Cricetulus griseus: one gene and its partners. The protein of the gene in region 3 purifies or fractionates together with the protein of the main gene of each other region. This does not show direct contact. Links are inferred from orthologs where the notes say so. Each region holds a gene or a part of one and is shown on either strand. Other genes may lie near its edges.

The links. Proteins that work in one complex are often made in the same cells at the same time.
Region 1: the proteins of Wdr77 (region 3) and Sirt7 purify together in Homo sapiens (affinity purification with mass spectrometry; 3 studies listed by BioGRID, with this or other methods). This does not show direct contact. The link is inferred for Cricetulus griseus from reciprocal best matches to the Homo sapiens genes WDR77 and SIRT7.
Region 2: the proteins of Wdr77 (region 3) and Snrpd3 purify together in Homo sapiens (affinity purification with mass spectrometry; 3 studies listed by BioGRID and IntAct, with this or other methods). This does not show direct contact. The link is inferred for Cricetulus griseus from reciprocal best matches to the Homo sapiens genes WDR77 and SNRPD3.

The regions. Positions count from the first base shown.
Region 1 is NC_048600.1:133,112,892-133,116,637, reverse strand, and holds the end of Sirt7 (NAD-dependent protein deacetylase sirtuin-7), read left to right. Parts: intron 1-4; coding exon 5-77; intron 78-542; coding exon 543-641; intron 642-713; coding exon 714-950; intron 951-1,081; coding exon 1,082-1,162; intron 1,163-1,324; coding exon 1,325-1,431; intron 1,432-1,821; exon of another isoform or gene 1,822-1,907; intron 1,908-2,562; coding exon 2,563-2,764; 3' UTR 2,765-3,246; downstream 3,247-3,746. UniProt on the Homo sapiens protein: NAD-dependent protein-lysine deacylase that can act both as a deacetylase or deacylase (desuccinylase, depropionylase, deglutarylase and dedecanoylase), depending on the context. Specifically mediates deacetylation of histone H3 at 'Lys-18' (H3K18Ac).
Region 2 is NW_023276806.1:263,052,713-263,056,178, forward strand, and holds the end of Snrpd3 (small nuclear ribonucleoprotein Sm D3), read right to left. Parts: coding exon 3,318-3,466; intron 725-3,317; coding exon 663-724; 3' UTR 501-662; downstream 1-500. UniProt on the Homo sapiens protein: Plays a role in pre-mRNA splicing as a core component of the spliceosomal U1, U2, U4 and U5 small nuclear ribonucleoproteins (snRNPs), the building blocks of the spliceosome.
Region 3 is NW_023276806.1:51,042,343-51,045,600, forward strand, and holds the end of Wdr77 (methylosome protein 50), read right to left. Parts: intron 2,662-3,258; coding exon 2,553-2,661; intron 2,031-2,552; coding exon 1,962-2,030; exon of another isoform or gene 1,902-1,961; intron 1,807-1,901; exon of another isoform or gene 1,670-1,806; intron 1,252-1,669; coding exon 1,092-1,251; 3' UTR 501-1,091; downstream 1-500. UniProt on the Homo sapiens protein: Non-catalytic component of the methylosome complex, composed of PRMT5, WDR77 and CLNS1A, which modifies specific arginines to dimethylarginines in several spliceosomal Sm proteins and histones.

The DNA.
Region 1 (3,746 bases), on a different chromosome or scaffold from region 3:
GCAGTGCTGCTGACCTAAGTGAAGCGGAGCCCACCCTCACACACATGAGCATCACCCGTTTGCATGAGCAAAAGCTGGTAAGAGCCAGAGCTGCCCCTCCGCGGCCAGGCGGGGAGCTGCTTCACTCAGTCACCCTGTGATAAACAGACCGAGGAGCTCAGCTTCCTGTTTGGTCCCTGCTGTGCTCCCTTTCCAAGGAGGAGGAGTAGCCCCTGTCCAACTGTGAGTCTGCAGGTGGAAGGGCTGGCTTTAGGCAGCATCCTAGCCACAGGGGAAGTCTGCTGAGCAAAGGAAAGGGATCTGTCTGGGCTCCTGGGGGACCTGAAAGAGAAGGACCCAAGAGGGTGTTGATCCAGTGCCCCAAGCTGCTACCTAACTTGCAGTACAGATGCTTGTTCTCCTGGATGCTTCCAGTGTTTCAGAGCCAGCAGGGGAGGACATGACTCCTTCCTACCACAGGGCCCTCCTGGGCTCAGGATAATTTCACAGATACAGGGTGCTTCCTCCGTCCCTTACTGATTGCCACGTGTCTCTTTTTCCAGGTACAGCATGTCGTGTCTCAGAACTGCGACGGGCTCCACCTGCGCAGTGGGCTCCCACGAACCGCCATCTCAGAGCTCCACGGGAATATGTACATTGAAGTGAGCAGTGCCAGAGGGATGCAGGGCCTGGGTGACAGGCATGTCTCACTCATTGTGTGCTCTTATCCTCAGGTCTGCACCTCCTGCGTCCCTAACAGGGAGTATGTGCGAGTGTTTGATGTGACCGAGCGTACGGCCCTTCACCGGCACCAGACCGGCCGGACCTGCCATAAGTGTGGGACCCAGCTCCGGGATACCATTGTGCACTTTGGGGAGAGGGGGACATTAGGGCAGCCTCTGAACTGGGAGGCAGCGACCGAAGCTGCTAGCAAAGCAGACACGATCCTGTGTCTAGGGTCCAGCTTGAAGGTGCGTGCTGACAATGCCATGAACGCATTGTGGGTTGAGTATGATACGGGGCTGCCTGCCCAGAACTATTAGTGGGCATTAGATTTGCTGTTTTCATCCCCCTCCTGTGTTACGTCTGTCCATCCCTACAGGTACTGAAGAAGTACCCCCGCCTCTGGTGCATGACGAAGCCTCCAAGCCGGCGGCCCAAACTCTACATTGTGAACTTGCAGGTAACATGGGTGCTTACAGCTTCTTCCTTATTCCTGGGGGTGTGCCACATTTGTGCATCCCGGGAGTCTTGCACAAGTCCATGCTCCTGGAGATGGCTGACCCAGCGTGCAGGGGACAAGCAAAGGGCTGGAGGTTCCTCTCATCGCCTTTCTTGTCTTCAGTGGACACCAAAGGATGACTGGGCCGCACTGAAGCTTCATGGGAAATGTGATGATGTCATGCAGCTCCTCATGGATGAGTTGGGCCTGGAGATCCCAGTCTACAGCCGGTGAGTGGGTGCAGCGCATGGGCCATTTCTGCCCTTCTGTGTGATGGGCTGTGTCTGTCTTCTGTGAGCCTCCAGAGGGACCAGCTCGGGTGAGGCTCCACACAGGTGCACTCTTCCTCCCTGACCGGTATGGTGCCTGGCATTTCTGTGAGGAGAGGGGGGTCTGCTAGCGTGTTCTCTATAGGATGTTTCTCCACAGAGCTCTTGCAGCCTGGGTGGACAACTGTAAGGGGTGAGGACTGCAACTCTGGTCAGACAGAATCTGCCCTTGGTTCTGGGATATCTGGGGAAAGCTTAATCAAATTGCCTTGATAGAGAATTTGTGATAATTTAGACGCGGTGTGTATATTGAGTGAAAAGTTTACACTTTCTTTCTCTGTGAATTTTCAGGGTCTTATAGGGGAAATCAATAACTTCTTTTAATCAAAGGGTTCAAGAAATTAAGGATCCCTTCACCTCTGGGCCTGGCAATTCTTGTATGTTATGTTTGTGGTGTTCTGTGACGTGGGCCTCTCCTGTGCTGTATTGTTTTTTGTTGTTATTGTTGTTGTTTTTTTTTTTAACATTAACTTAGCTCATTTTTCAAATCAGTGCTTATCTGCATCTTATGTTTATGATATGTGGTTCTGCATCTCAATCAGATACATGATCTCTTCATGGTCTAGTCTGTAGGCCAATGCCCCCCTAGTCAACTGGCCTTCCCTTCCCATCCCCATCATGCAGTCTGGAAAGGGTAAAGGGTCTGGTCCATCTGCCCTCATCCATACAAGTGAAAGGTGGGGCCCAGAGTTGCTAGCAACTTATCCTTGGAGATGGAGCCGTCCTGCAGCGAGCACAACCCTTCCCGTGTGTGCTGAGCCCACTAATGATGGATGAGACACTGCAGAGTTCAGCAAGAGCTGTGGCCGGCCAGCCGGCCGGCCTTTGAGTGGCCACCCAGGGAGACTGTCCCCCGCAGCTCTTTTATAGCTGGGTGACATTGAAGCTGCTAATAGTCAGAGCCCAGCCACCCTTAGGACGCAGAGGGAAGGGGTAGGATGACAGTTGGCCTCAGACAGCTTTTCCTGCGCCCGGGAGGGTTGTGGTGGGGAGGCTCTCAGACCTCCCTGATGCTGCTCCTCTTTCTGTTAGGTGGCAAGACCCCATCTTCTCCTTGGCCACTCCTCTCCGCGCTGGTGAAGAAGGTAGCCACAGTAGGAAGTCGCTGTGCAGAAGTAGAGAAGAAGCCCCGCCTGGGGACCAGAGTGCACCACCTAGCCCAGCTCCCCCCATCCTAGGAGGCTGGTTTGGCAGGGGCTGCGCCAAGCGTTCGAAAAGGAAGAAAGCAACCTAGCCAGGCGTTGACAAAGAACAATTGGCACTTTGCAGAGGGCTTTGACGCTTGTTCAGGGGCCTATGTCACCGTGAAGGCTACAGTGCCCCCACCGGATCTAGTGGGAAGAACTCTTGGGGGTGGCATTTCACGGTGATGTTTTTTTTTAGCCATTTGTCCTTGTGGGAAGCCTCTCTTGCACTGTTGTAACTGCCCCAATATGGGCTTGACTGTCAAGGACGCCGACCCCCTCCATCCCCCCTGTACAAAGGCGGCAGCAAGGCCTTTGTGAAAACAGAGCTGTCTTTCCTGGCCTGGCCAGCAGAGGAGCCCACCACTGCCTTACCTCACTCTCCAGGCTAGTCTCAGGGCCTCCCCATTTCTACTACTTATTACTAAAAGCGTTCACTTTATAGAAACCTTTTTCTGTGTTGGGTCTGCAGCACAGGGGCGGATCTAAGCCTCCAGTCTGAGCAAGTCGTATTAAAACATCTCTCTCCTGCCTTGGTGTCCCAATGACTCTACGTGCACCACGGAGTATCTGAAAATGTCTGAGGCCAGCTATGCCCAAGGCGGGTGGGGTGGGTGAGTGGGGGTGGCGGTACACACCATCACTTGGGAGCCAGAGGCAGGGGGATCTATGGGAGTTCGAGACCAGCCTGGTCTACAAAACAAGTTTCAGGACAGCCAGAGCTGTTACGCAGAGAAACCCTGTCTCAAAACAAAACAAATAACCAGGTCCCTGGGAATGCTTAATGCACGGGTGGGGTGGGCTGGGGTGGGGTGGGGGCGAGCGCACCCGCTTACTCGCGGTCCCAGCCGGCTCCCTCTGGGCACAGTGCCTGCCTGGAGGCAGTTCTGCAGCACACCCCTGGGAGGTGCAGCCCGCTGAGCCCCGACCTTCGACACACGCCATTGGTCGCGCAGGTTGGCCGGAGGGGTGGGGCCAGCCGCGGGCGGGGCCGGGAGCAACGCACGCAATTGGCCGCGACAGGCGGGGTGA
Region 2 (3,466 bases), about 210 Mb from region 3:
TCAAATACTCTGCATATCTTATCCTCCCTTGCTAATAATTAATGTGCTAACCAATGCTGAGATGCTAACTACACTGTGTGGAGCCAGTAGAGTAGCCACAGATAGGGACCCCCAGGAGCCTCTGCATTACTTCTTAGTATCAGAAGACTGTGCTCAAATGCTGAGGGGCTAGAGTAACCAGTGCTCATCAGGCCACGAGACATCTTCACAGGTCAGGTTGATGGCGCCCCACAAAGGTTGACTGAGCAAAGTGCCACACCGAGTGCACGTGTCAAAGATAACCCAGGTCCTGGAGTTTCTCTGAGTCAGCCTTCTCTTGGCTCAACTAGAAACTGGCCGACACAGCACCTGAACTCTTATCAACAACTGCTTTTGAAAAGTACTGGCATTCTCCCAGCACATGTCCAAGGGTGTCAGATTTTAACCTGCTGCCAAAGCAAACTACAGAATGAACACATAGTTCTTATTTCCTTAAAAACAAAAGAAAACAAACCCTCACATAAACAAACCACAAAACAACCAATTTTATTAAGTTTAACAGTTTCTCTGATACAAAGAGAAATATCAAAAGAAAACCTACAACATATGCACACATAGCCTCTCCTCCAATCTACAGTAACCTAAGAGAAAAAAGGACACAGTTCTCTTCCACAGAAATTTATTTATCTTCGCTTTTGGAAGATGTTTCCACGCCCCATTCCACGTCCTCTTCCTCTGGCAGCCACTGAAAGGAAGAAGAGGAGAGGTCAGAGTGTGTGGGAGTGCTCATGACAAGCTAGAGCCCGGGCATCAGCTCTGGAAGGGGCCTGAGAGGCCACCAAAACCAGCATCACCCCAATTCACTACCTGTCACACAGTGACGGGGAGGAAAAGGAGTGCAAGTAGACACTGATTTCTGGCTATTAGAGTGGTAGGTAGGGTTGACAGTAGTCTGAGTACAACAGGAAAGACAAAGTCTCAGGACTGGCCTATGGCAAAATACTATGCCATTTAGATGCATTCAATTCACTCTGTATGGTGTAAGGGAAGGAAGGGTGTGTGTGTGTGTGTGTGTGTGTGTGTGTGTGTGTGTGTGTGTGTGTGTGTGTGTGTGTGTGTGTGTGTGTGTGTGTGTGTACACAGAAGAGGGGGAAAGCTTTAAGTATTGTTCCTCAGTACCATTCATTACTCTTCCTTCCTTCCTTCCTTCCTTCCTTCCTTTCTTTCTGGTTTTTCGAGACAGGGTTTCCCTGTGGCTTTGGAGGCTGTCCTGGAACTTGCTCTTGTAGACCAGGCTGGCCTCGAACTCACAGAGATTCAACTGCCTCTGCCTCCCAAGGGCTGGGATTAAAGGCGTGCACCACCAACGCCTGGCTCCATTACTTTGTTTCTTAAGACAAGGTCTGTCACTGGCCTGGAGCTTGCCAAGTAGACTAGATTGGCTGGCTAGGGACCCTTCTTGGTCTTGTCAGTGCTGGGCTTACAAGCAGGTGCTACCATGAATGTACTGAACTCAGGTATTCATACTGTGTGGAAAGCTCTTTACCCACTGAGCTAAACCACCCTGCCCTCAATTCACTTTTGAAACTCTCCAGCACATATACTAAGTGCCTGTTAATTCTGGATAAGGAGTCTTTGGGCTTTTGGGCATGAAAGAAATGCTTAATAACAAAAACAAAATAACACTACCCATAAAAAGGCACAAGTCTCCCACTCTGTGACCTATGTGCCCAGGAACATGGAGCAGTCCCAAGGGAGGAGTCTGATGGAAACCTATGCACCTGCTGATAGGGACCAGAGCCAGAGGTTGGGAAAGGCACAGGTGGCTCATGTAGCAGTCATTGGCCAGGGACAACTCACTGCCTGAAGTAAACAACAATGACTGGCATAGATGGGACACCCAGTGTCACTATGACAGCAAGAGCAGTCATAGTGGGCGCAAAGGGAAAAATTTTCTCTCACACTTTTTTGTATCTATTTATTCATGTCTGTGTGTACTGTGTGCATGTAGAAGTCAGAGGACAATTTCTGTCAGGGTTACATGAAAACCACCTTTACCACCAAGTCATCTCTGGTCCCAAGACTTTAATCAGCTCTTAAAACAAAAGAAAACAAGCAAACAAACAAAACAAAGAATAAAACTACTCTATCTTTAAACACAGAAGCTACCTCACATATAAAACACGCAATAAATAACGTGGCAGAATTTTCCAGGGACCCAAATATAAACCATAATTGGGACAATCTCCAAGAGCAGCTAAGCAGACACTGGGAGACAGTGTGGCTACACTGCTGTTTTGTCTCAGAGGGATTTAATGTCAAATTTAAGAAAACTTGAAACACAGGATGGCAAGATGGTTTGTCAAGTAAAGATGCTTGCTGCCAATCCTGCAGATGTAAGTTCAATTCCCAGAGCCCCATGGTGGAAGGAAGAACTGATTCTGACAAGTTGTACTCTCATGTCCACATGTGTCCCTTTCCCCACAAAGAAGCTAATCCATGCAACTTTAAAAATTAACAAGAGAGAGCCAGGTGTTGGTGGCGCTCGCATTTAATCCCAGCACTTGGGAGGCAGAGGCAGGTGGATCTCTGTGAATTTGAGGCCACCCTGGCCTATAGGACAGTCAAGGCCCCAGCTGCACACTGTAGGAGAGGTGAGAAGTATAGAGAAAATGTATGGTTAACTTAAGGGGGAACTCCAGTGAAGCAGCAAGGGCAGCCATGCTCCTAAGTAACGCTGATAAGCTCACTGGCTCATCAAGACAGACTTGAGTGGAACTGTGTTTGGTTTGTTCTACCCCTTCTGTCTTTGGTGAATGGGGGATGTCACGTACAGTTCTAGGAAGGTACCCTTCTGTTTCAGGTGTTAATTCACATCCTCACTAGACTAGAACATGCTGCCTAGCCCTCCTGGATAGAATTTTTGAGAACAAAGGGCCTTCACTATAGAAGACCATTTCACTTAAGACAGGGTTCTCTCTGCCTGCCTCTCCAGGGTCTTGCTGTGTAGCACAGGCTGGCCCCCTCAGCCTAAGCCTCTTGAGTGCTGCCATTATAGGTGCGAGCCACCAACCTTGCTCAAGGAATCTGCATCTTTTTTTTTTTTTTACCCCCCTAAGGAGAGATTTGGGATTTTACTAAACTCCGTGATAGGATCAAGTAAGGCAAGAAAGGTAACAGGGAAAAGCCCCCGGTACCAAGATTTCTCAAGCCTGGGGGTAGGTCAGGACAGGGTATAGCAACATGCGGTACAGTCATGTCTCCATGCAACAATAGGGCCTTTCCCTAAAAGAACAGGGCAAGGTGGAGATTCTGAAGCCAGCTCACAAAACACCTACCTTGGGCCTTCAGGATAGCAGCTTTTCCTCGGCCAGCCCCGGAGCCTTGATTCTTATTTTTCATACTCTTTAACATGGGTGCGTTTTTCAGCATGTCAGGCAAAATCAGAAATCGGATCTTGCTGCCACGTATGTATACCTGTTCCAGC
Region 3 (3,258 bases):
TGAACTCTAAATGGAGTGGCTAGACCACCAACACCAAGTATAAATAAATGTTTAAGTTCTCCCTTAACTAACTACTTCAGGAATGGTAAAATACAGACAGCGGCAGTAAAATTGACAACATCCTGGTGACTCACCTAAGTAAAGCAGACAAAAAGTAACAACAGCTTTGGTGGGGGAAAAGGCCATGACCCAAGTCTTTAATTCACATTTCAGTATTTCAGAATTTCCCTAATGATGGATCTTAAATCTTAATAGTTCACAAATACAGCACTCAGACTTCATATCTCCAGAGGAAGGTGCCCAGAGGCAATCAGGTCTCAGGGTATCTTTAGGTGGGAAAAATGACAAAGATTTCTCTGTAAGAAACCCTGTCAGTTTTCTGACTTCACTGAAACCCCTTTAAATGTTCAATCATCCCTAAAACTTTCTATGAAATCTAGGACAGGAAAACACTCATCTCTCTCATACAACACAGAGGAGGGCAAAGGGTGAGCAAGAACTACATTGCAACAGCCAAATTTATTCACCAAGAAAATGGATCTGAAAATTCAGTTTAACATGGATTTGTACAAAACTGTGGTATTTCTGTGTCTTCTCAAGGTATACTGTGCTGGACTTTTATGGACTGAAGTATTCCCCATAATGAATTAAACTCTATATAAAAATAAGTTACCCCATCTCTGAGTGGTGGAACCACTCCCACAAATCTAGGGATACTCACATTCCATATCCCAGACAACATATCCAATTCTTGGACTTGGGAAGCATAAAACTGTTCTCACTTTGTGGGAAATAAAGAGCAGTGCTTTGGGAAAGCTGAAGAATAATTTTCCCCACCCCAAACTACTTAATACACTCACACACATGTGCTCTCTCGAACACATATACCCATTTATATAAAGGAAGTTTTCCCTCCTAGACACTATGGGCTGCAGCCTCCCTCAGGCTGAGAGTCTGCCTGTTTATTGCACGGGACTAGGGAGTAACATGCTCTACAAGGCTCCTTCCTGTGCTCTCACAATACGGAGGCAGAGGCAAGCAGATTCTTGCAGGTGGAGGGCTATTTTTTTTTTTTTTTTCTGAAATCCATTCTACTCTGAGGCATTCTCAGGTCCAGGGGCTGGGAGAGGCTCAATGGGCACAACATGGTGGATGACTTGATGGTCCCAGCCAACTGTGGTAAGGAGGGAGTGGTTAAGTGGAGACCACGTAGCATCTCTCACGAAGTCTCTGTGGGCTCGACTTCTAAACCTGGAACAAAAGTGGGTGTGTGGTAAGAGATAACACAAAAACCGAGGTGGGAAGAAGACAGAAAGAAAACCTAACATAATCAGGACACATTGTTTTTAAACATTTCACCATTTGTACAGCTTATCACCAGGACAGTGGATGTTCAATCCAATCCAGTCTACTTTCCTAGGGGAAGAAATAGTATGCAGAGCAAAGAAGTAGTATATCTACAACCAAGCAGGAAGTCATAGCAGAGAGAGATGTACACCGGGGTCTTCCTTCCCATGCCTTTCTCTCTATAGCAGGTTTCACTTCACAGCAGGGGTTCCCTCCGTGAAGCTGGGATGCTAGCTAGACTTAGCCTACAATCAGACTGCTTCCAGTGTTCAGTCTCTGCAGACACACAGACACAAATGGAGAGAACCTCTACAGACAAAGATGGAGAATTTTCTTCTATTTATTTCTAATAATGTGTAAGTGGGTATGTGCACCCAAGTGCAGAGGCCCACAGAAGCAGAGGCATCACATGCCTTCGATCTGGAGTGACAGACAGCTGGGAGCAGACGGATGTGGAAGCTGGGAACAAAAGGAAGTATTCTTAACTACTGAGCTTTTCTCCAGTCCCAACAAAGGAAGAATTCTACATGCAAGTTCCTGAAGACAAAACAGACCTGCTTGCCCATTGGTCTTGATGCCTGATTCCTAACCACAGGGTTCTACTTCAAACTTACACCTCAGAAAGGCTTGAATCCAGCACAGCAATTGAGCAGTCTTCACTGAGAGAGGCCAGAAAGGGAGCACTAGGAGAGGGAACAAAGGGGAGAGAAGATAAAGCCTAGATTCCATAACCAAAATCTGACTGCACCAGCCCCAAACTCACCATAAACTGAGCCAGGGGAAAAGGCAGCCTGATACCCACCTTTGGGTTAAGGTCTTCCTGCCATTATAATTCCAATAAAAATGGAACAGAGACAGTACTCATAGAAACCACCCTGGTAACCAACTACCCAATGGGTCCCTCTCTACATTAGCAATTACCCAGAATCAGGCTCCTTAAGCACATGGTGCCAGAAGCCTAACATCAATCAAGCTGTGTTGAACAGGTATGAGATCACATTTCAGCTGTTTTTAGACTATGCAACCCTAATAAGAACTGTACTGACTAGCTTAGGAAGACCAAGCTCGAGTACTTACATTGTTCCATCTAAGGAACAATGTAACCAGCTAATGCTGTGCCAATAGATACATTCCTTATCACTCCATTCCTACCCCTCACCACTGGCCCAACCCATCCCTTCCAAACCCCTGATGACAAACAGTACCTGTGTGGAGAGAATACCAGCCTAGTGACACACTGGGAGTGCACAGCTGAGCTGAGGGTACTGCTTGCATTCTTGGTGTCCACAAGAGAGACAGATCCATTCTCATCACCTGTTGAAGAAACAGCATGTTACCATGGTTAAGAACATACACTTCAGGCTGTCCACAGTCAAGCACGCCTTTAATACTAGCATGCAGGAGGCAGAGGCAGGAGGATCTATCTGAGTTCAAGGCCAGCCTGATTTAAATAATAAGCTCTAGAACAGCCAGAGCTACATAGAAAGACCCTGTCTTAGGAGAGAAAAGAACAACAAAAACCTTAGGCTTTGATATGCCAGTCCTGGATTTGCATGAATCTTAGTTCCTCGAGATATGGACAAGTTCACCACCCAGAGCACCAGTTTCCTTTTGTAAGGTAGGATAAGCAAGTTACTGTGTGCTGTGACAATTACTGGATACTTATTACTTTAACTACAAGCTGTTACCATATGCAGTCATACCCACATAATTCCCTAAACAGCAAAGCTGCTTGCTAAGTGGCCCAATGATTTCTAATCATGCCGAGAATAAGGGAGCTGGATCCATGAGGAATCCAATCTACTAGGAAAAAATTATGTCCCCCAAAGCTAAACAAAACTGCTCTAATTCATGTAGTGCTGAAGTGTGTTGACAAGAGTGTGTACACCTCGAAGGTAGCGCTTTCCCATC